Linked DNA regions of Sus scrofa. Each later gene encodes a partner of the first gene's protein in a complex. Links are inferred from orthologs where the notes say so. Each region holds a gene or a part of one and is shown in the gene's direction. Other genes may lie near its edges.

Evidence for each region. The genes of interacting proteins can lie anywhere in the genome.
Region 2: the proteins of PTH1R (region 1) and PTH are in contact, whole or in part, in a cryo-EM structure (PDB 9JR3), measured with the Homo sapiens proteins. The link is inferred for Sus scrofa from reciprocal best matches to the Homo sapiens genes PTH1R and PTH. Residues at the interface, in NP_000307.1 of Homo sapiens: Val31, Met32, Thr33, Lys34, Glu35, Gln37, Ile38, Leu41, Glu111, Trp112, Asp113, His114, Ile115, Ile135, Tyr136, Asp137, Phe138, Arg146, Arg162, Thr163, Ala165, Tyr167, Val171, Leu174, Thr175, Glu177, Glu180, Arg181, Phe184, Leu187; in NP_000306.1 of Homo sapiens: Ser32, Val33, Ser34, Glu35, Ile36, Gln37, Leu38, Met39, His40, Asn41, Leu42, Gly43, Lys44, His45, Leu46, Asn47, Glu50, Arg51, Val52, Glu53, Trp54, Leu55, Arg56, Lys58, Leu59, Asp61, Val62, His63, Asn64, Phe65.

Annotation. Positions count from the first base shown.
Region 1 is NC_010455.5:29,745,620-29,755,697, forward strand, and holds the start of PTH1R (parathyroid hormone/parathyroid hormone-related peptide receptor precursor), read left to right. Parts: upstream 1-4,320; 5' UTR 4,321-4,409; intron 4,410-8,967; 5' UTR 8,968-9,015; coding exon 9,016-9,090; intron 9,091-10,078.
Region 2 is NC_010444.4:45,753,212-45,763,380, forward strand, and holds PTH (parathyroid hormone precursor), read left to right. Parts: upstream 1-4,186; 5' UTR 4,187-4,277; intron 4,278-5,829; exon of another isoform or gene 5,830-6,220; 5' UTR 6,221-6,225; coding exon 6,226-6,311; intron 6,312-6,688; coding exon 6,689-6,950; 3' UTR 6,951-7,204; downstream 7,205-10,169. UniProt on the Homo sapiens protein: Parathyroid hormone elevates calcium level by dissolving the salts in bone and preventing their renal excretion. Acts by binding to its receptor, PTH1R, activating G protein-coupled receptor signaling.

The DNA of each region.
Region 1 (10,078 bases):
CTTCCTCGCCCCCCTCTGCCCCCAAATGGCCCTCTGTGGTTATGCTTAAATTGGAAGATGTATGTGGAGCACTGAGTGGGAGGGCAGGGGTGGCCACCCTTCCATCTGGGACCCAGCTCTGCTCCCTGGGCCAGAAATGGTTTCCGGAGCCGGCTGTGGGACAGAGGGCGTTGCAGGGGTGCAGGATACGCTGCGTGGCCCAGAGCACTCATGTTCCCTGCCTCTGCACCCCCACACCAGATCAGGAAGGCAGGGAAGGAAGGGGGTGCAGCAGAAGTGGGGGAGGCTAAACCGCCAGCCTCCCTGTAGAGGGCATGAGTCCACAGTTGTCAGGGCCCTTGCTTGCAACGGGGCTGGAGCTTTTCCTTCACTCCTGAGGAGGCAGAGGGGCTCCAGAAATGGAGCAGTGGCCCAGGACAAGTAGGAGCTGTGAGTGTGATTTTGGCTGCATCCTGCCCTCCCCAGGGCCAGGTGGTGACCAGTGTCTCCTCTAGCTCCAGGGAGGTCTCTGAGCTATGCAGAGCCATTCTTCTGTTACTCCTGGAACCTCCTCCAAGGTTGGGACCCACCTGTCCCAAGTTGAAGCCTTTCGGCTTCTTGCACGGCCTCAGAAGACTCTGGATGTTGGGAAGGACTAAGGATCTAGTCTGGATGAGCTGAGCGACTTCTGGCATGCCATTGACCCTCTCTGAATGTTGCTCTCCCAAAGGCAGTTTTATAAACTTCCCCAAAGTACTTCTCCTTCTGGCCAGTTCAGCCAATGTCCACCAGGCCTCTGGAACAGGCTCTGTGCCGGGTGCTGGATAGCCAAGCAGACATAGCCCTGGTCCCAGCCAGAGACGTTCCCAGTATCACTGCCAGATCACTGCTTCACCCAGCTAACGTGCCCTGAGGCATGCAGGATGAGAGGAAACTGAGGCCCAGAGAGGTGGCCAGCAGTCCTCAAATGGCCCAGCCTGAACAAGGACCACCCACATAGAGGGTCTCTCTAGGCTGAGCAAGACCCAGTGTCAAGAACTAGGGGTCCCCCACCCAAGTCTCCCCACCACCACCCCAGGCAGGATCCAGTGTCTGAACTAACCCCTTTCCCACTCCTTCCTCTTTCCCGGCCCCCTCGTCCCTTCAAACCACAGGGCCCAGCCAGCCTCTGGAACGCGTGCCCAGGACCTCGGTGATATTTTGAGTTTAAGAAAACTTTGCAGTCGGCAGGAGCTCTTAAAGGTTATAAATAGCAGCAGCAGGAGCCCACGCCGGGAGAGGCGGAAACACGTGTCAAACACGCCTGGGAGGGGGGTATTCCGAGGCACACACGACCCCCCACTAGGGACCCACCAGGCTTCAGGGGATTTTACAACCACTGGAGCGGGAAGTCACACCCCACCCGGAAGGTGTCTGGGAAAGGAGACTCCGCTCTTGCCCCCAACCAGGGTCCCTGAGCAGTTTTCCAGATGGTCTGGGGCACGCAGGGGCGCTGCTGAAAGGGGTCTTGGGTGGGAGGTCTTGCTTCTATCCTCTCACTCCCTGCCCTGCATGAGAACCCCAGGGGTGAGAGGAGTTTTGGATGGAGTCCCCTCTAACCCCTGTCAGCAGTCGGGGCACAAGACCAGGGGGAAGAAGGGATTATTCCAAGGCACACAGGAGCTATGTAGCATTCAGACCCCTGGCCCACAGTTCTTTTCACCAAATGTTGCTGCTGCATCCCCTTCATTTTGAGGGACCACAGGATGATAGCTTACGCCACCCAATTAAGCCGAGTCAGGGGACTGCAGACAGCGTAGAGGGTACCCTGATATAAGTCAGCCCTCCTCAGTTGACGGTGAGCAGACACTAGGCCCTCATCTCTCAACAACCCATCCAGTCCCCAAGTTTCTACTTCTGATGAAGATGTGCCTTTGAAGAGATGAGAAGAGAGCACTAGAGAGGACAAGGGACTCCCTCCACTCTAAAGGGCTGCACACTCATGCACATCTTGCCAAGGTGTGGCTTGTGGACAACCCAAGGCCAGGTGTGGGGTCTTCACAAGGAGGTCAGCTCTGATTCCAGGGTTGCCTTGAAGGCCATTATGCTTTGAGGATATGCTCTCAGGAGCCTTCTCTGAGGGAACACAGCCAGGAAGACCCCTTTGATTTTCCCAACTGCACGTGCAGGAATTGTTGTTCCAATGCAAAGATCGGGAAGCTGAGGCATGTCTGAGGCTCCCACAGCCATCCCTAGTTCTGCCTCACTCATGCCCTACCTGCTGCCCATGGCCCCCAGAAGGTCTGGGGGTGGCAGCCAGGCCTGGCGTCCAGGCACTCTGAACCTCAGGGAGCCCCAAAGGGTTTATGGGGCTCCCAATGAATGGGTCTGTTGAGCTCAGAGGGGGCTGGGCCCAGGTAAACATGACTGGGTCTGAGCTGCCATTCTCCCCCTGCCTCCTTCCTCAGGACCCAGGACCAAAATACGACTTCCTGTCCCCGGAGCTGAGGGCAAGACTCACCCCTCAGAGCCCTAAGCTGGGGCCCACTGGAGGAACACAGCCTGGCCGGCACAGGCAGCCCCCAAGGCTCTAGGGGAGAGAGGACCTCAGGTTTTCAGATTCACAGGTATGCCCAGGACCCAAGCACTCGGTCATTTTATGGAGCCCCTTCAAGTCTTGAATTGCCCGTGTTAATAACATATCAGGAAACCGAGGCCACAAACAGGAAAGAGATGCACAGGGCAGGGCAGAACAGGCACTAAGCCCCAGCCTTTGACTTCCGTGGCAGTGAGGATGGGAGTCAGGGGTGTAAGTGGGCTCAGAGGAGGGAGAGGCTCCATGGGTGGAGGCTCAGGGCAGTGGGAAGCTTGACAGAGGGCAAAGGAGGTCTACCCTCTTGGACACAGCTGCCCAGTGACCTGTAAAGCTGAAATCTGCCCCGACCCCCTCCACACACACTGGCCCTGGTCACAGAACGGCCTACGTGCCCTGAGATACCCCACTGGAGCCAGACACTTGGAAACAGCTCAGGCCAGGGGCAGGAGCCCTGCAAGTACTGTTTGTCATAATCTCATTATGAGCCCCTGGGCAGCCCAGTCTACCCTCTAAGCCTCATTTTCCCTACCTGGAGGCCAGGTATTGACAAGTTCCCTGCCTCTCTTTCCAGCTTCTGAACTAGAAAGTACTTTGGAAACTATAAAGTGTTCTCCCCAGGATCCTGGAAGACCTGAGGAGAGGTCGCCCCTAGGGATGGGGGCCCTAAGAACGTGACCCAGTGGCTGGGGGTGGTTCCGGGCCAGCCGCCTCACATGCCAAGCACTGGGGGCTGTGGCTGGAATGCGTGGAGCAGCAGCTGCCACGTGAATCATTACACCTCGTCAGGCTGAGCCTGGGACTTCCAGACTCAAACCAGCTCAGACTGGGCTCAGGCAGAAGGGCAGTCTTCAATCAGGCTCTCTGGGCCCTGAGGTGAGGGTCCAGAATCTTGCATAGTCTCTTCCATCCTGTCTGCGCATGTCCTCACCCTCAGTGTCCAAGTCCAGCACTGATTCTGCTATAGCTCATTCCACAGAGCCACAGAGGGAGGTCATCCTGTCCACAACCCCCTGCCTCTGTGACCTATAACTACCTAAGCAGGCCCTGAGCCTACCTAGTACTTGGTGGGGTATATGTGGTAGGGGGGCAGCCCATGAAGCTTGCTGGCTGGTTTCAGACCTGAAGTCCATTTTCAGTGGGGAAGGAGTCAGATATAGGGTGGGCTGTGGGTCTGCAGGGATCAGGACAAGGGCTGGGTAGAGCAAGGGTCCCCACGTCTCTCTTAGCTGGGGGACACTGGGTAGCCAGTGCTTAGAGGGCAGACCTTCTCAGCCTCAGTCCTCTGCTTGTGACCTGGGTATGAACTACCCTCAGCCTCCACCCGATTTTTACAAAGGCCCAAAATCTGAATGAAGTCACTCATAGGGGCTGTGCTTATAACTCATGGTGGCCTGAAATTTCTGGGCTATGGAAAAGGCTAGAAGGGGCAGGCAGAGACACAGAAACAGACAGTAAGCTAGTTGGAGAAAGGGTTGGCAGAGCAGGGAGAGGACTACTGAGGCACACAAACACCTGAGGGGCTGAGCTGGCCTGGATGCCTGGCAGGCAAACCCATGGACAGTGGCAGGGAGGGCCTAACCCAGAGCACCTGAACACTGGTATGTTTGGACCTGCCTCTGCTCCCTGACCAGGGGTCTAGGACAAAGTCCTGGGCTGGTACATGGCTTGGTAAAAAATAATTAATTTTTCTTTTCAAGTGAAACTTTGACTCAGGCCTTTTCCTGTCCCAAACAGCAATATCCTGGCTTAGGCCTGAACCACAGAAGCCTCTCAGGGCTATCCATGGCCTCCCCATGGCCAATTTGAGTCTCCTCTGTGACTCCAAACCCTACTTGGAAGGTCTTGTGGGCTCCAGGTGAGTGGGTCTAGCCCTGGGAACCGGATGCAGTGAGGGACAAGGTTGGGGCACCATGCTGGGTTAGTGTGTGTATCTGTGCCTGTGGGGCAACCAAAGTATGCCTGCCAGGAGATAACTATGGAGCTGGTGTTACCGCAGCAGGGAGGCTGTGACTATGTGATGAGAAGGGATAGGGATCCTGTACCCCCAGTCACCTGCCCCACGAGTGCTTCCTGCTTGGGACAGGGCAACCCAGCCCCTTCCTGAGAAGTGAGAAAGCCAGGCTTCCTGCTGTAAGGGGAGGGGGCTGCTTGACAGGCTGCCTGGGAGCCTCCAATGACTCATCCGGGTGGGGGGTGTTTATGAGCAGCCGAAATGGCTGTAAAAGTGGCACCTCGGTTCACTTATGGCCTGGCCATCCCCTCCCCACCAGCCCCTTGCCTTGAAAAGCTTCCAGAAGGGCCTACAAACCTGGAAAGAGGTCTGGGGCTGAGGCTTGGTGGAGGCTCAGCCTGGGGTCAGGGTTCAGCCAGAGGTTAGAGGTCAGACCGGGATAAGGACTCAGCCTGGGGGTAAAGCTCAGTCTGGGATCAGGGCTGAGATTAGGATTCAAGCTGACTTCGGGGTTATGGGTGAGGGGATGAAGTGTGGGAGTAATCAGGCCAGTATTCCCAGAGAGCCTCCAGGTTAGGGAAAGGGGTTTTCTGAGGGAGTGGGGCCACGCTGCTGGGCTCAGAAAGCCTGTCTTTCCTGTTAGAATCTGGTCCCCACCCAGGCATCAGGGTCTGTGTACCTTGGCCAGAGCTCTACCGGTGATGGCAGTGCCAGCAGCAGAGGTCTGTCAGCTTAGGACTGCTGCAACAGAGTTAAGTCCCCCACCCTACCCCACCCCCACCCTGCTCTGGTTCTGAGCTCCAATGACAGCCTTGGTTCCTCCCTCTAGGCCCCAGCTTGGGGATCAAAGAGGGGAGTCCCCACAGGGACTCCCATTCCCTACCCCCAACCATGACTTTCCAAATGCCATTGAAACTGACCTGAAACTGACCAGAAACAGACCCTGGGGCTCTGGGGCCTGCCTGTCAAAAAGGGTGGGCTGTGCTCTGCCAGGCACTGGGGTGCTACCAGTTAATGTGTGACACACACCCCCACCACCACCATGGTAGCACTTTAACCAGAGGCCTGGGGGTGAGTTAGGGGGTCAACGGCCCCACCCACAGTGGTGGAGGAGTGAGGCATGTGAGCTATGGTTAGGGGAACAGCCCATTAGATCCCTCTCTGCAGCCCAATCTACAGCCCACCCTGATCTTCCTAAACACAAATATTGTTTGTTTCTCAATCTCAAGTTTTCTGGGTGTCAGATCTGAGAAGGACCCCCCCCATCAGCCCCTAGTTTTACCTCTCAGTTCCTCCAATCTGTCCATGAATGTTCTTTTCCTATTATCAAGGGGTGTAGGGTTGTTAGTGGTTGTCAAATTATAAAAATTAGAATCAAATTGCTTAGAGACAGATACAAAAGCTGAAGAAACACGTCTGTTCTTTACTTGCCTGTTCTGAGCACCTGAGCTCTGTCCCTGTTCCCTAAGAGCCCACACACCATGGGAAGCAGCCCCCAAACCACAGCTGCCCCCCAGTAATGGATGAAACGGAGACACAAGACGGGAGGGACATCCTCTACACCAGGCAGAGGAGTATGATCCTAGCTGAGGAAACTACAAAGGCAAAGGCAGAAAAGTGAATATGGAGAGAAGGACAGGAATCTAGTGAACGGTACTCATTGGAGAGAGTCACTTTGGGAAGAAACTTCCTCAAACAGCACAATCCTTAAATACCAGGACCATAAACTTGAAGAGAGTATGGCCATAGAAATATAGGGAGAAGACAGATGGGTACAGTCTGGGAGACAGGTAGGTTTGAGCAGAGGGAGGGAGGGTTCCCCAGAGAGCCGGATGCAGCTGGATTCCAGTGGCCTTAGGGCTTGGATTTGGGCACTCATTGACACTGAAGAGAGGGGCCATCCCAGAGATGGAGGACTGGTCTGGGGCTCTAAGGAGCTCAATTTCCACAGGCTGAGCTTGAAGGGCCCTCAGAGCACAGGGGTCTCTGGGGAACCCAGAGGGATAACCACCCTTGAAGGCACTAAAATGGTAAGGTTAAAAGTGCCCTTTGAAAGAGCTGGTCAGCTCCCCATTTTACAGATGAGGAAACTGAAGCTCAGACAGCAGGGAGTCTTGTGTCCAGGATACACAATTGGTAAGTGGATGAGCTGGGGTTGCCACTTAACCTGGATATTTCCCAGTCACATTAGCTTTCACCTGACCCTCCTTAAAGCCCTCTGCTCCGTGCACCTACAGGCCCTCTCTGCACCTCAGCTTCCGGCTTGATACTGCTTGGTGTCCGTCCAAGGCCCCCTCCTCTGAGCGTCCCCTTCCAGGCGGGAGAACATAAGCTCCACCTCCGTCTGGCCCCTGCCCCAAAGTCTCCTTTCGCCCTTCCCCCAAGTTGAGAGTCCCCAGTGGACCAGAACCAGCCAAGAGCTTTGGCGGGTGTGAAGGGGTGGGAGAGGGAGGCAGAACCCCAGGGTGGGGTCCGGGCTTAGTAAGGGGTCTTGCGGCCTCAAGCAGCCAGGGGTGGAGTCAAGAGGAGGAGCTAGAGAGGCAGGGCCCCAAGTCTGGATGGGTCCAGACTCCGAGAGACCCAGACCCAGAGACTGGGGAGGGAGGGAGCGGGGCGTGAGGCCAGAGACGCAGGCAGGGACAGGGGCGGGTCTAGGGCACTGCACACCGACCCACTCGGGAGGTTCCTGAGAGTGGGGGTCCAGGCGAAGGCGGGGCGGCCGGGAGAGCCGCGGCGGAGTCAGGCTCAGGGCCGGCGGCAGAGCAGGCTCCCCAGGGATCTTGGTCCAGGCTGAGCGGGAGTCCCACGGGCCGACGGATCCCGCGGGCGGGCGGGGTACCTCCCGTGAAGAGGGCCTGCTTTGAGGCTAAAGGCCGCTATTCACCGGCCGTGGCCGGACGATCAGAAAAAAATAACGTCTGTGCCTTCCCGGAGAGGAGAACGAAGCGGCAGCAGCGGCCCGGGCTATGTTCCCGGACCCCGATGTCAGAGCTCCCCGGCCCCGTCCCCTCCACACTCACATCCCGCCGCTGTGCAACCTCCGGCCGCGGCCTCTAGAGAAATGTCCCGGGGCAGGGGGCAGCGAGCTCCGCTCTGCGGCTCCACACACCCGTGTCGGAGGCGACCGGGTGGGGGGGCGGGGGCGGGAGAGGCCCAGGGAGGGCGCGGGGGAGGGAAGAGGCGCCCGAGCCGAGGGGGGAGGGGGAGCGGCAGACGCCGAGGCGAGGGACGCGCGCGGCGGGCGGCGGCTCTGAGAGCGGGCCGGGCGGGGGGCGCTGGAGACCAGGCCGGCCAGGGGGGATCCCGAGAGCTCCATGAAGTTCCCCTGGGGCCGCGGACGGGGCGCTGTCCTGGGGAGGCTGTCGGGGGGTCCCCGACATCCATGGCTAGGCGGGGGCCGCGGCGGCGCGCTCGGAGTAAGTCGGGGTTGGGGGCTGGCACCGAGGGGAGGGGGGCCGGAGTTGAGTAGGGTGACTCCGGGCCTGATCCGGGCGGAGGGACTGGTCTGTCTCGGTGTCACTCGGCGGCGCCTCCTCGGACCCGGTGGAGCCGCCAGCCCCGCGCCGCTCGGCTCAGTGGCTTTTTTGGAAACTTGCAAATGTTTTCGTAGAGAGAAAAGGGGGAGGGGAGGGAGGGAGCGAGGGAGTGACCGAAACGGAGCTCGGGGCTGCTGGAAGAACGGAGGCCAAGGCCGGGGGAGCCAGAGACGGACTGACAGACAGGCAGACTGACCGAGCGTCCCGGCCGCAGGCGCGCTCTAGCGGCACGGGCGCAGGCGGGGCTCCGGCGGAGGATGGGGCTGGAGTGTTGTAGGCGGCCGCGGACGGGATGGGGATCAGAGGGACCAGAGGGGCACGGAGCTGGCGGCCGGATCACCAAAGGGCTCAGTGTCGTTGCAAAGTTGGGATCGCGTACCCAAGCTGCACGCCCCAAGAGGCGCAAAACGTGCCCCCCGCCCCGCTCGGTCCCCCTACTTGTGCTAGCCGCGGAGCTAAAAATAACAGCCCCGTGAGCCCCCAGCAGACCGCGACCCCAACCCCTCCCCCGACCCCACCCCCACTGGGCGTGGGGCAAAGCCACAGCTCCTAGTTCCCCAAAAGAAAAAGAGAGAGAGAAAGAAAAGGCGGCGCGGAAGGGGGGGCGCGGGAGGGGGGGCGGGGGGCGGGCCGGGGGCGGGGGGCCCGGCCATATGGATGTGATTTCTCCGCTCCGAGGCAGACGGGCAGCTCCGCAGCTCTCGGCGCCCGCCCGCCGCCCGCCTGGCCCCGGGCTGCCTCCCTTCCTCCCTCCCTCCCTCTCCCTTGCGCTCTCTCGTTCGCTAGCCCTCGGCGCATGGGCCCCGCGCCGGGCCCCGGGGCCTCGGGCCGCCGGGCCTCCGGGGTCCCCTAGGCCCTAACGTGGGCGGGGCAGCCCTGCCTGAGGCAGCTCTGTACCCCACCACCACCACCACCACCACCACCAGGGCCGGCGGCGGCTGCAACCCCGAGGGACGGGGCCCTAGGCGGTGGCAATGGGGGCCGCCCGGATCGCGCCCGGCCTGGCGCTCCTGCTCTGCTGTCCGGTGCTCAGCTCGGCATACGCGCTGGTAAGTCCCCAGCTCGCACTCCTGAACAGGCTTCTGGCTTGCTCTGGGGTCCCGGGGGATGGGGGCCCCGGGGGAGGGGGGGTGCGGTCCCCAGGGTCAGAGGCTTGAGTTCCCCCAGTAATCTGAATTTTGGGTAGGGGTCCCCTCTGGCCCGTGATTCTCGGTGCCTGCTGTTTCTGAGGTGTCTACAGTCTGGGTTCCAGATGCCTAAGGTCTCCCTATTTCTGCAAGTTAGGTTTGGGGTCCCAGTTTTGGAAATCTGTGGTTAGGGTTCTCCTATCTTCTGCTTCTGTGAGCATCACTGCTCTGTGTCTCCCTTGAAAATGACAGTGTGATATAGCAGAACACTGGACTTTGGCTCTGATGTATGATCCCACAGACTTTGCTCTGGGGGCCTCTGTTTTCCGCAAGTTTCGACTGCAATGTGGGACACAGGGCTGTGGGTCTGAGGTCAGGGGGTAGGATTTAAGGACCCCTCCAGGTCTCACCGTCGCATGCTTGCACACATGCCCAGCTTCATCCACACTGAAAGATGTCTGCCCTGGGAGTCGGGTGTGGTGTGGCATGGAGGAGAGATGGAGGTCCCATGAAGGAGACTGACCTCATAGAACACTCCTACAGGAGAAACATGCTAGAAGGGCACTCCACTGAGTGAGGGGACCCCCATTTGTACTCTCCTGAGAGCAGAGGCTAAGAGGGAGAAGAGACAGAATGGGAGATAAGGCTAGAGAAAGAAGAGAGAGACAAAGGGGGTGGGGATGGAAGCTCCCCAGGAGTAGACAGACCAAGAACAGCAAAGAAAAATAGGGGAGACTGGCAGAGTCCAAGAGCTGGAGGCTCTAAGGGGCCGCACCCTCCTCATCCTGGGCCAGGGTCTGGAGGCCATCTCCTGAAGAGTCAGTCAGAACCCACAGCATGCCTGTCCCAGGGGACAAGCCATTGCTGAGGAGGCTGTCTGCCTGTGTGTCTGACTTCAAGGCCCCTGCTG
Region 2 (10,169 bases), on another chromosome or scaffold:
TTTTGTACCCACATAGCCCCTAGCTCTCTTATTTCTAAATGGTTTCCTTCTATCTAATGTCTGCAGTTCCAGAGACTGATGGTTCAGATTAACTGTGTGTCAGATCTTGGCAGCTGTAACTCTTGTGGGAAGGTGAAAGCATACTTTAAAAAATCTGAAGGTCACAAAATTATTACTAGTGCACACATGATTTTAGAGAGGACTACAAGATAAAACTCCTAGGCATACACACAGAAGCCTTCCATAATTTGTATCATACTTACTTTTTTAGGGTCATTACCCATCTGCCTTCTCCTTCCACTAGCATGTCTTCAGTTTCTTTGTTTCCATGCCTTTGCATATGTTGTTTCTTCTTGTTCTTTCTCACCTTTTCTGATGGAAAACTCATAATCATCCTTGAAATCACTTAAGCGTCTCAGGAAAACAGCTTCAAACAATTCCAGGGAAATAGACACTCTTCCTCTGTGCTTTTATTTTATTATTATTATTTATTTATTGGTCTTTTTAGGGCTGCACCTGCGGCACATGGAGGTTCCCAGGCTAGGGGTCCAATCGGAGCTGTAGCCACTGGCCTACACCACAGCCACAGCAACGCGGGATTGGAGCCGCATCTGCAACTTACACCATAGCAAACGGCAATGCCAGATCCTTAACCCACTGAGTGAGGCCAGGGATTGAACCCTCAACCTCATGGTTCCTAGTCAGGTTCATTAACCACTGAGCCATGACGGGAACTCCTCTCTGTGCTTTTTATAAGCCTTTGTTCATATGGCTATTATAGCACCTATCACATTATATTCTAATTTATATGTCAACTTTCAGGGTAGGGACAATGTCTCAATTACCTAGTGATTAACACAGCCTCTGGCAATTCAGTGCATTTTTTGAAAGAATAAACTTTGTTTTCTTTATTTTTCTGTAAAGCTAGTTTAATAATATGGTTATCTTCAATATGACAATTTATTATTAAATAATGGTAATAGGAGGAAAACAGTGAAAGCACAAATTGCATCACTCCTGGAAGTCTGTCAATTATGTCAAACTTATCTGAAGAAGTGGGGAAAATCTCCAAATTAAATGTTAAATATGGCTTTATAGTAACAATGAAAAATGTGTTTATAAAACCATTTGTGTTTCTGACTCTTCTCAATAGAGTATAAACACACACACACACATCAAGTTTAGACTTTGCATCAGAAGAGGTCTTTTAAAGGATCAAAAAAAATAGATTTTTTAGTCAAAAGGGATCTCTTGGTTATTTAGTTTAAGCCTCTTATATATGAATCTCTATGTATGTGTCATGTATGAATCTCTATAACATCCTCGATAAATGCTGACCTAGCTTCTACGTGAACACTTCCAATAATGGGGATCTTACTACTTAGAAAGGTAGTTGAGTCCTTATTTTAACAATTATAATATCCAAGTGAGCCCAAATCTGCCTTCCTATAATCTTTAGCCATTGGACTCAGTCCTTTCTTCTTTTTTTTTTTTTTTTTTTTTTTTTTTTGTCTTTTTTGCTATTTCTTGGGCCGCTCCCGTGGCCTATGGAGGTTCCCAGGCTAGGGGTCAAATCGGAGTTGTAGCCACCGGCCTATGCCAGAGCCACAGCAGCGCGGGATCCGAGCCGCGTCTACAACCTATACCACAGCTCATGGCAACGCCGGATCGTTAACCCACTGAGCAAGGGCAGGGACCGAACCCGCAACCTCATGATTCCTAGTCAGATTCGTTAACCACTGCGCCACGACGGGAACTCCTCAGTCCTTTCTTCTTAAACCATAGAAAATAGTCCTTTTCCTTAAGGTAGCCCCATAAAAAACTAAAAACAGCTACATCATCATCACAAGTCTTTTCCAGTTCATTCAGCTCCTGTGTGTGTGTGTGTGTGTGTGTGTGTGTTGTGGTGTGTGTGTGTGTGTGTGTGTCTTTTTAGGGTGACACCCACGGCATATGGAAGTTCCCAGGCTAGGGGTCCAATCGGAGCTACAGCTACCAACCTACACCACAGCCACAGCAATGCACAATCCCAGCTGCATCTGCAACCTACACCACAGCTCACGGCAACGCCAGATCCTTAACCCACTGAGCAGTGCCAGGGATCGAAGCCACATCCTCATGGATACTAGTCAGGTTCGTTAACCACTGAGCCACGACAGGAATCCCTCATTCAACTCCATTTGATATGCTATTGTCATGTTTATCAACATTTTTCACCAGCCTGGTTCATATCCTCTAGATGTGTTGCAGTTTGTCTCTAATGCTTCTGAAATGGAGCCTAGAACAATACTCCAAATGAGATTTGCCCTATGTAGAGGATTTCCCAAAGCAGCACTAATACATATATTTCATTCTGACCTTCGTACAGGTGTTTTATTTTATTTTATTTTATTTTATTTTTTTGGCCACACCTGTGGCATGCAGAAGTTCCTGGGCCAGGGGTCAAACCTGCACCACAGCTGTAACCAGAGCCACAGCATGACAATGCCAGATCCTTAACCCACTGAGCCATGAGGGAATTCCTGCACAAGTATTTTAAATTTAGACTGGCTCTCACTTAATGTAGAGTCAAACCTAGGCAAGAGCTAGCAGAAAAGAGAATAACATGAAGCTGGGGTAGGAGAAGAGCTGAGAGAACTGATCTAGTTCTGGGACTTTAGTTGGGAGGCAAGCTGCCTAAACAAACTCTAGATTTACCGAGGAGAATCAAGGGGTTTTTGATAGATGGGGACCAGGCTGTAGAATATTTGAAATTAGACAAGTGACAGCATCTTGCCTCCACTCCTAAACTCCATAAGGTTTTGGAGTAGGCCCTCCATCACTAGGTAGGGAACATGAGAAACAAAACCCAATTGCTGGGCAAAGAACCTGCAAAAGGTTAGGAAAATTAGGGTTCAAAGAAGGGCTACAGGGAGTTCCTGTTGTGGGTCAGTGGTAACAAACCTAATATCCGTGAGGATGCAGGTTCAGTCCCTGGCCTTGCTCAGTGGGTTAAAGATCTGGTGTTACCATGAGCTGTGCTGTAGGTCGAAGACATGGCTCGGATCCAGCATTGCTGTGGTTGTGGTGTAGGCCAGCAACTGCAGCTCTGATTCGACCCCTAGCCTGGGAACTTCCATATGCCACACATATGCCACCCACCTCCCCGCCAAAAAAAGAAGGGCGACATTTCTACGAGAAAACTGAGGTAGTAAGAGTCAAAATAGTTCTGGAGTCACTGTTAACTCCATCTTTTCCACTTTCTAAACCTCAGTTTCCTCATTTGAAAATGGGGATCACGATAGTATTTACTTTAAAGGATTACTGTGAAAGCTTAGTGGGATAATATATGTAAAGATTGGCATATAGTTACTGCTTTTCAAATGTTTTCACTGCAAATTAAAATGCATAAATAAAATGTAGGTTAAATGAATTTTAAAATAATTTCACTTTTGGAGCTTTTATAATTAATTATGTACTAAGCGCATATTCTCAAAACATTTTTAACACTTCCTTTAAGAAAAACGCTATACTGGAATTCTCTCGTGGCTCAATGGATTAAGGATCCGGCATCACTATAGTGGCATGTGTTCAATCCCTGGCCCAGGAACTTTTGCATGCCATGATTGTGGCTGAAAAAGAAAGAAGGAAAGAAGGGAGGAAGGAAAGGAAGGAAGGAAGGAAGGAAGGAAGGAAGGAAGAGAAAGAAAGGAAGGAAAACACTAAACACTATACCTTTTTTTTTGAAAGATGATCAGGAATGATATGGATTGGTTGAAAATGACTTGTAAAGTAAGTGCAATATATTATGATTCATTATAATCCTCATAATAATTGTGACAATATTATGTATATAACAAATATACTAAATTTTAGATTTTACTTTGAAATAACGACTTTACCATGAATTTTTGAAATTGGTCTTTTTTTGTAGCAAAAATTTAGTAATCCAGTCAGAATTACAATTCACTATTTGTTAGAAATTTTTGCATAAACCCTTTTCCCAGCCCTGCACTGTTTTCCTTTTATATCCAATTATATAACATCTAAGAGGAATAAGCACCGCCCAGTGGGTGTGTGTATGCTACTCTGATCCTATAGTTAAAATTCAGAGAATTGGAAGTGACGTCATCTGTAATAAGAAAAAAGCTTCTCTTGGTGTGTGGAAGACATATATATAAAAGTCACGTTTAAGGGTCTGCAGATCAATTCATCAGCCTTCTCGGGTTTACTCAACTTTGAGAAAGCATCAGCTGCTAACACACCTGAAAGAAGATCGTGTCCTAAGACGTTGTGTGGTGAGTAATCTTTATTTTCTCTTTTAAATTTCATATGAGTTCTTTTTATGACCAAGCAACACATTTAAAAATGTGTATCATTTTCTATTAATGTCATGCTGTTCATTAGAATTAAATATTAAGGGAGGGATTGACTTATGTTTAATATAAAAATGACACAATGCAAAATAAATGTATGCTACTGAAATAGTGTTAAAGCACTTATTTTTTTGTGATTAAAATCTTTTGAGATGTCTTGCTTTTTAAAACTCATCTGAAATTACATGAAAAACAATTAAAATTTGGCATGATGTACTTTAATGGTATCTTATTAAAATTTTGAAGTAAAACAGCCTAAAGAGAAATGAATAATTCTGATTTAAATAAGTAGAGTTTTATTTCTATGAGTTAAATTCTATTTTTCTGCAGAATATCCTCATAGGAGCTCAATCTGTGTACTATGCTTAAAGAAACTCAGTTTTATGGCTGAATATTTATTCCCTTTACATAAAGACTTTTCTAATGTTCTATTCTGAAAACTGAATTTAAGAATGTTTTACAACTGTTTTTCAGCTTTTTAATGACATTCTTTAAGAGCTCATCTCTCTACTAAGAACAAGAAAGCAAGACAGAAGCAGTAGGTGAATGTGCCAAAGCTAGGGTTAGGTACCAAGCTCCTGTCCTGTAGCTACAATGATTATTTGTAACATAAACCAAAAATGAAGACCATTCATTTGTTACTCTTTCAGTAGCTTTATACTGCACAGTGAAAATACAGTAGATTATAATGTTCCTTATGCTACTTCTAAATGATGCAGGTTCCCTTTAAAATATGAGTACATAACCACCCTATATGTACATTAAAGTGAAGAACATTAAGTATTAAGAAAAGGCACTTCAATGGTAAAAGGCTTTGCAATTCTTGAATTGCAGACTAAGGTAAGACTGTACTATTTTGAGATGAAAAGCTTTATAAGCAAAAGAGGAAAGTATTAAAAATTATACTCAAATGAAATTGTTAATAAGCTGAAAAGATAAGATACAGACAAGGATTTCATATGGAGTCAAAGCTCTAGATTCATATAACAAGTAATTAATTAGATGACATTAAATGATTTGACACATTCTTTTTAATGGTAGAAAAAGTGTTTGTTCTGAATAACAACAATCTCTAAATCAGAGCCTATTAATTTGGTATTTATGGTTATTACTGCAGTGCCTGAAAGGAAATTTACTTATTAAAAAGAGATTTGCTAAGTAAATAAACAGTGTTGACAATTAATTAAGAGAAGTAGTCATTTTCAAGAAAATTATAAGCATTTAGTCATAATTAACACAAAATGTGGGAGGAAATTCTAAAAAGTAAGCTTTTTGATTTTTTTTTTTTTTTTTTTTTTTTTTTTTTTGCTATTTCTTGGCCTGCTCCTGCGGCATATGGAGGTTCCCAGGCTAGGGGTCCAATCGGAGCTGTGGCCACCTGGCCTACACCAGAGCCACAGCAACGCGGGATCTGAGCCGCGTCTGCAACCTACACCACAGCTCACGGCAATGCTGGATCCCCAACCCACTGAGCAAGGGCAGGGACCGAACCCGCAACCTCATGGTTCCTAGTCGGATTCGTTAACCACTGCGCCACGATGGGAACTCCAGCTTTTTGATTGTTAATGTGGCTTTAATGTAATATTCATACATTAAAATTTGCACAGGAACTCTAAAAAAGATACCTTAGAAAGTATAACTAATTTAATTTCTTGGCCAAATTATGTGTATATATAATATATATTAATGTATCTGTAAAATCAAGAGGTTGATTCCCAAAGTTTCTCTGGAAAATCAATCCAATTAGTTACTGTCACATTCTGGGCAAAATTGTATGGTTATAAATATAAACTACTATAAATTTAATTGTATATTTTGGAATATTTAAAATCTTTTTAACTATTATATTTTGCTTTTTCTTTTAGTGAAGATGATGTCTGCAAAAGACACAGTTAAAGTAATGGTTGTCATGCTTGCAATTTGTTTTCTTGCAAGATCAGATGGGAAGCCTATTAAGTAAGTACTGTAGTCTGTTCTGCACAGTGAGGGCATGGGAATTGGATTTTTTATTTTATTTTTTTTAGGGCCACACCCGAGGCATAAGGAGGTTCCCAGGCTAGGGGTCGAATGTGAGATGTAGCCGGTGGCCTACACCATAGCCATAGCAATGCTAGATCCAAGCCAAGTCTGCGACCTACACCACAGCTCATGGTAATGCCAGATCCTTAACCCACTGAGTGAGGCCAGGGATCAAACCTGTGTCCTCATGGATGCTAGTCAGATTCGTTTCCGCTGAGCCAAGATGGAAACTCAGGGAATTGGACTTTTAAGGTTGGCTTTATAATTTGGAAGAGGAAGGCTACTGGAGTGATCTCTGATTCTGTTCCCTCCAGGAAGAGATCTGTGAGTGAAATACAGCTTATGCATAACCTGGGCAAACACCTGAGCTCTCTGGAGAGAGTGGAATGGCTGCGAAAGAAGCTGCAGGATGTGCACAACTTTGTTGCCCTCGGAGCTTCTATAGTTCACAGAGATGGTGGTTCCCAGAGACCCCGAAAAAAGGAAGACAATGTCCTGGTTGAGAGCCATCAAAAAAGTCTCGGAGAAGCAGATAAAGCTGCTGTGGATGTATTAATTAAAGCTAAACCCCAGTGAAAACACATATGATCAGAGAGCACTGCTCTAGACAGCATAAGGCAAACAATATTTCATGCTGCTAATGTTTTCAATCTCTATTAAGATTAAGTGCCAATATTTCTAATATTACTAAACTTGATGGGTAATCATTGCTAGCCATGATTGCTGAAATTTTAATTGATCATTTTGATTCTACTTTTACTCATTTAAGAGCTTCTTTTAACAATTCTATTTCTATTGATTCTAAATAAATGAAGTATTTCTTCCTTGTTATAAAAATGTCTTTCAGTTATGAGTAACACCACTATGTTTAAATTGATCATGACTAAGAAGAACAACACAAAATGTTTTTTAACCATGTGTTTCACATTCTGATATTTTGAAATTACCCTTTATATATTATCAAAGTACCAGGTCACAGAATCATCACTAGTTAGATACTATTATTCTCTTCATTTCTGGAAAGGAAGTGAAATGCTCGGCAAGGAAAGTCAGAAAGTGGTCTGAAACTTGAATGTAAAAGCATTTGCCTATACACATAGCCGCTGGTCATAGTCCTAGTCTGGACCCCAAATTGCAGGAATAGAACTTTTGTATTCAATAGAACATAACTTCATCAATTGTCCTCCCTCATGAGCATTTCTAACAAAATAGATTGACTTAAAGACAATTTAGAATATCAGTGGCCATTATGGGGAACTTTTGAAATCCCCAAACTCAATTTTCTTAAAACCAGAACAGACTACCATAGCTCTAAGATTTCCAAAACTGAGTGAAATTCCTAAAATGCCTATTTTGGAGATATTTTAGGCCTCCAATTATCACCAGACTCTAAAATTGCCTCTCTACAAAGTAGTATTTTTTTTTTTCTTTTTAGGGCCACACTCGAGGCCTAGGGGTCGAATCGGAGCTACAGCTGCCAGCCACTTACAATCTGAGCCATGTCTGTGACCTACACCATAGCTCACGGCAATGCCGGATCCTCAACCCACTGAGCGAGGCCAGGGATTGAACCTGCAACCTCATGGTTCCAGTCGGATTCATTTCCGCTATGCCACAATAGGAACTCCCAAAGTAGGATTTTAAGATTAACTAAGGCAAACAAGCAATTGAAGAAAGATAAAATGGCCTCATAAGCCTCATGCTCCTGGGTCTTGGCTCCTTATACTCAGGCTTCACCTCCAGCACCATCTTCTTCCTTTTTACACTGCCCACACCTCTTGTACACCCTCAGCTCCCCCTTACTAATTTCTCACTGAACTTCCCCATTCCCTTTTCCTCTAAACGTATCCTCTTAAAATCAGGCCTTCTGAGGATCCAGAGGCTAAACCTTGAATTTCTTATATTCCATGGACTATAGCTGAACTGTGGGTTATAATCAAAAATTTTCCCAAAGTAACCAAACATTCTCACAGATTTGCTGAGGAGTTGAATATAGTCATTCACACTTGTCACCCTTGTTTCTCTGACTTACATCTGTTAGTTAATGTGCTTATTGGTAAAGGCCAGGCCCAGCATTGCATGAAAACTGCTAGTTAGGAAAATCCTGAAATGTCTCTAGAATTAGAACCAGGAGATGTTTTGCTTTTTTTTTTTTTTTTTTTTTTTTTTTGATTCGTTTGTTTTTGTTTTGTTGTTGTTCTTGTTGTTTGTTGTTTTTTAGGGCCACACCCATAGCATATGGAGGGTCCCAGGCTAAGGTCAAATCGGAGCTATAGCTGCCGGCCTGCACCACAGCCACAGCAACACAGGATCTGAGCTGTGTCTGTGACCTACACCATAGCTCATGGCAACACTGGATCCTCAACCCACTGAGCAAGGCCTGGGATTGAACCCACAACCTCATGGTTCCTAGTTGGATTCGTTTCCGCTGAACCACAATGGGAACTCCAGGAGATGTTTTTATAACATATGATCAGACTTCGACAATCAATAAGCAATTTCATGGAGCAATTCCAAAGACTTTTCCAAAGCCTGCTGATTGTAGCAAAGTTTAGGTTTGCACAAAATAATCTGATGACTCTGTTCATGACTATTACAGTAACTTTAGATTACTTTTATTTTTATCCTTTTTTGCTCTGCCTGTGGCAGGACTAGTTCCTAGACCAGGGACTGAACCCAAGCCACAGCAGTGACAATGTTGGAGCCTTAATCCACTGAGCCACTAGAGAACGACCAGATTACTTTGATTCCACTTGGGTAGCTTTTAACTCTGTGTTTATTAATGGACTGAACCAGGACCTTTCCCTTCTAATAAAAAGGACCAGGATGGCATGGAAGACCATGTCCATACATCTGACAAGCTTGCTTTCTTGCACTCTAGATGAGTCATCTAAAATTCTCAATCTTCAACTCCAGCAAATGAAGGCCCCTAACCAAAAACAAAACCCTCCTAGTTTCTCCTTTTATGGCAGAGTGTTGGAAAAGAGATTGCTATAAATTTAAATGCTTTATGCACCTCCAGCCCTCTAACCAGCATCCTCCCAATTCTCAATGATGGGACTTTGAGAAATTAGAGGGGCTCTTCCAAATCCTCCCTTTTAATTAGCTGGGGGAAACATTTCTCCAGATCAGGGATGCTCTCTTCTAGTCTTAATTGATACTAGAGCCACAGTCTCAGTGCTCAACCCCACTGCTATAAAATAGCCCCCACCTCAGAGTACTAAAACATTCAGAGTGGGGATCTCTAATCAACCTTGAGATGCCCGTCTCTGAACCTATTTCCTTTTACTTAAGTCCTTTGAGATACACACCTTTTTCTCATCAATCCCATCCAACAGATTGAGAATTTTTTTTTTTTTTTTTTAGGCTAGGGGTCTAATGGGGGCTACAGCTGCTTGCCTACACTAGAGCCACAGCAACTCGGGATCCCGAGCCGAGTCTGCAATCTACACCACAGCTCATGGCAATGCCAGATCCTTAACCCACTGAGCGAGGCCAGGGATCAAACCCACAACCTCATGGTTTCTAGTCGGATTCATTTCTGCTGTGCCCTAACGGGAACTCCAGGTTGAGACTTTTTAGAGAAGTATCATGCTGGGGAGGAATAATTCTGGAACTTTACAGTAGTCATCAAAGTAAACAGTCAGGTGAATTAAATGACTCCTTGACATCTTGTATTTACTCCATCTCTGATGGTTCTAGAGCTGATTCTGGAAACACTGCTCATTTGTCCCTATTGATTCAGCTACCATCCTCCTTATGGGCAAAATCTCCAACAGATACTGGCAAAATTCA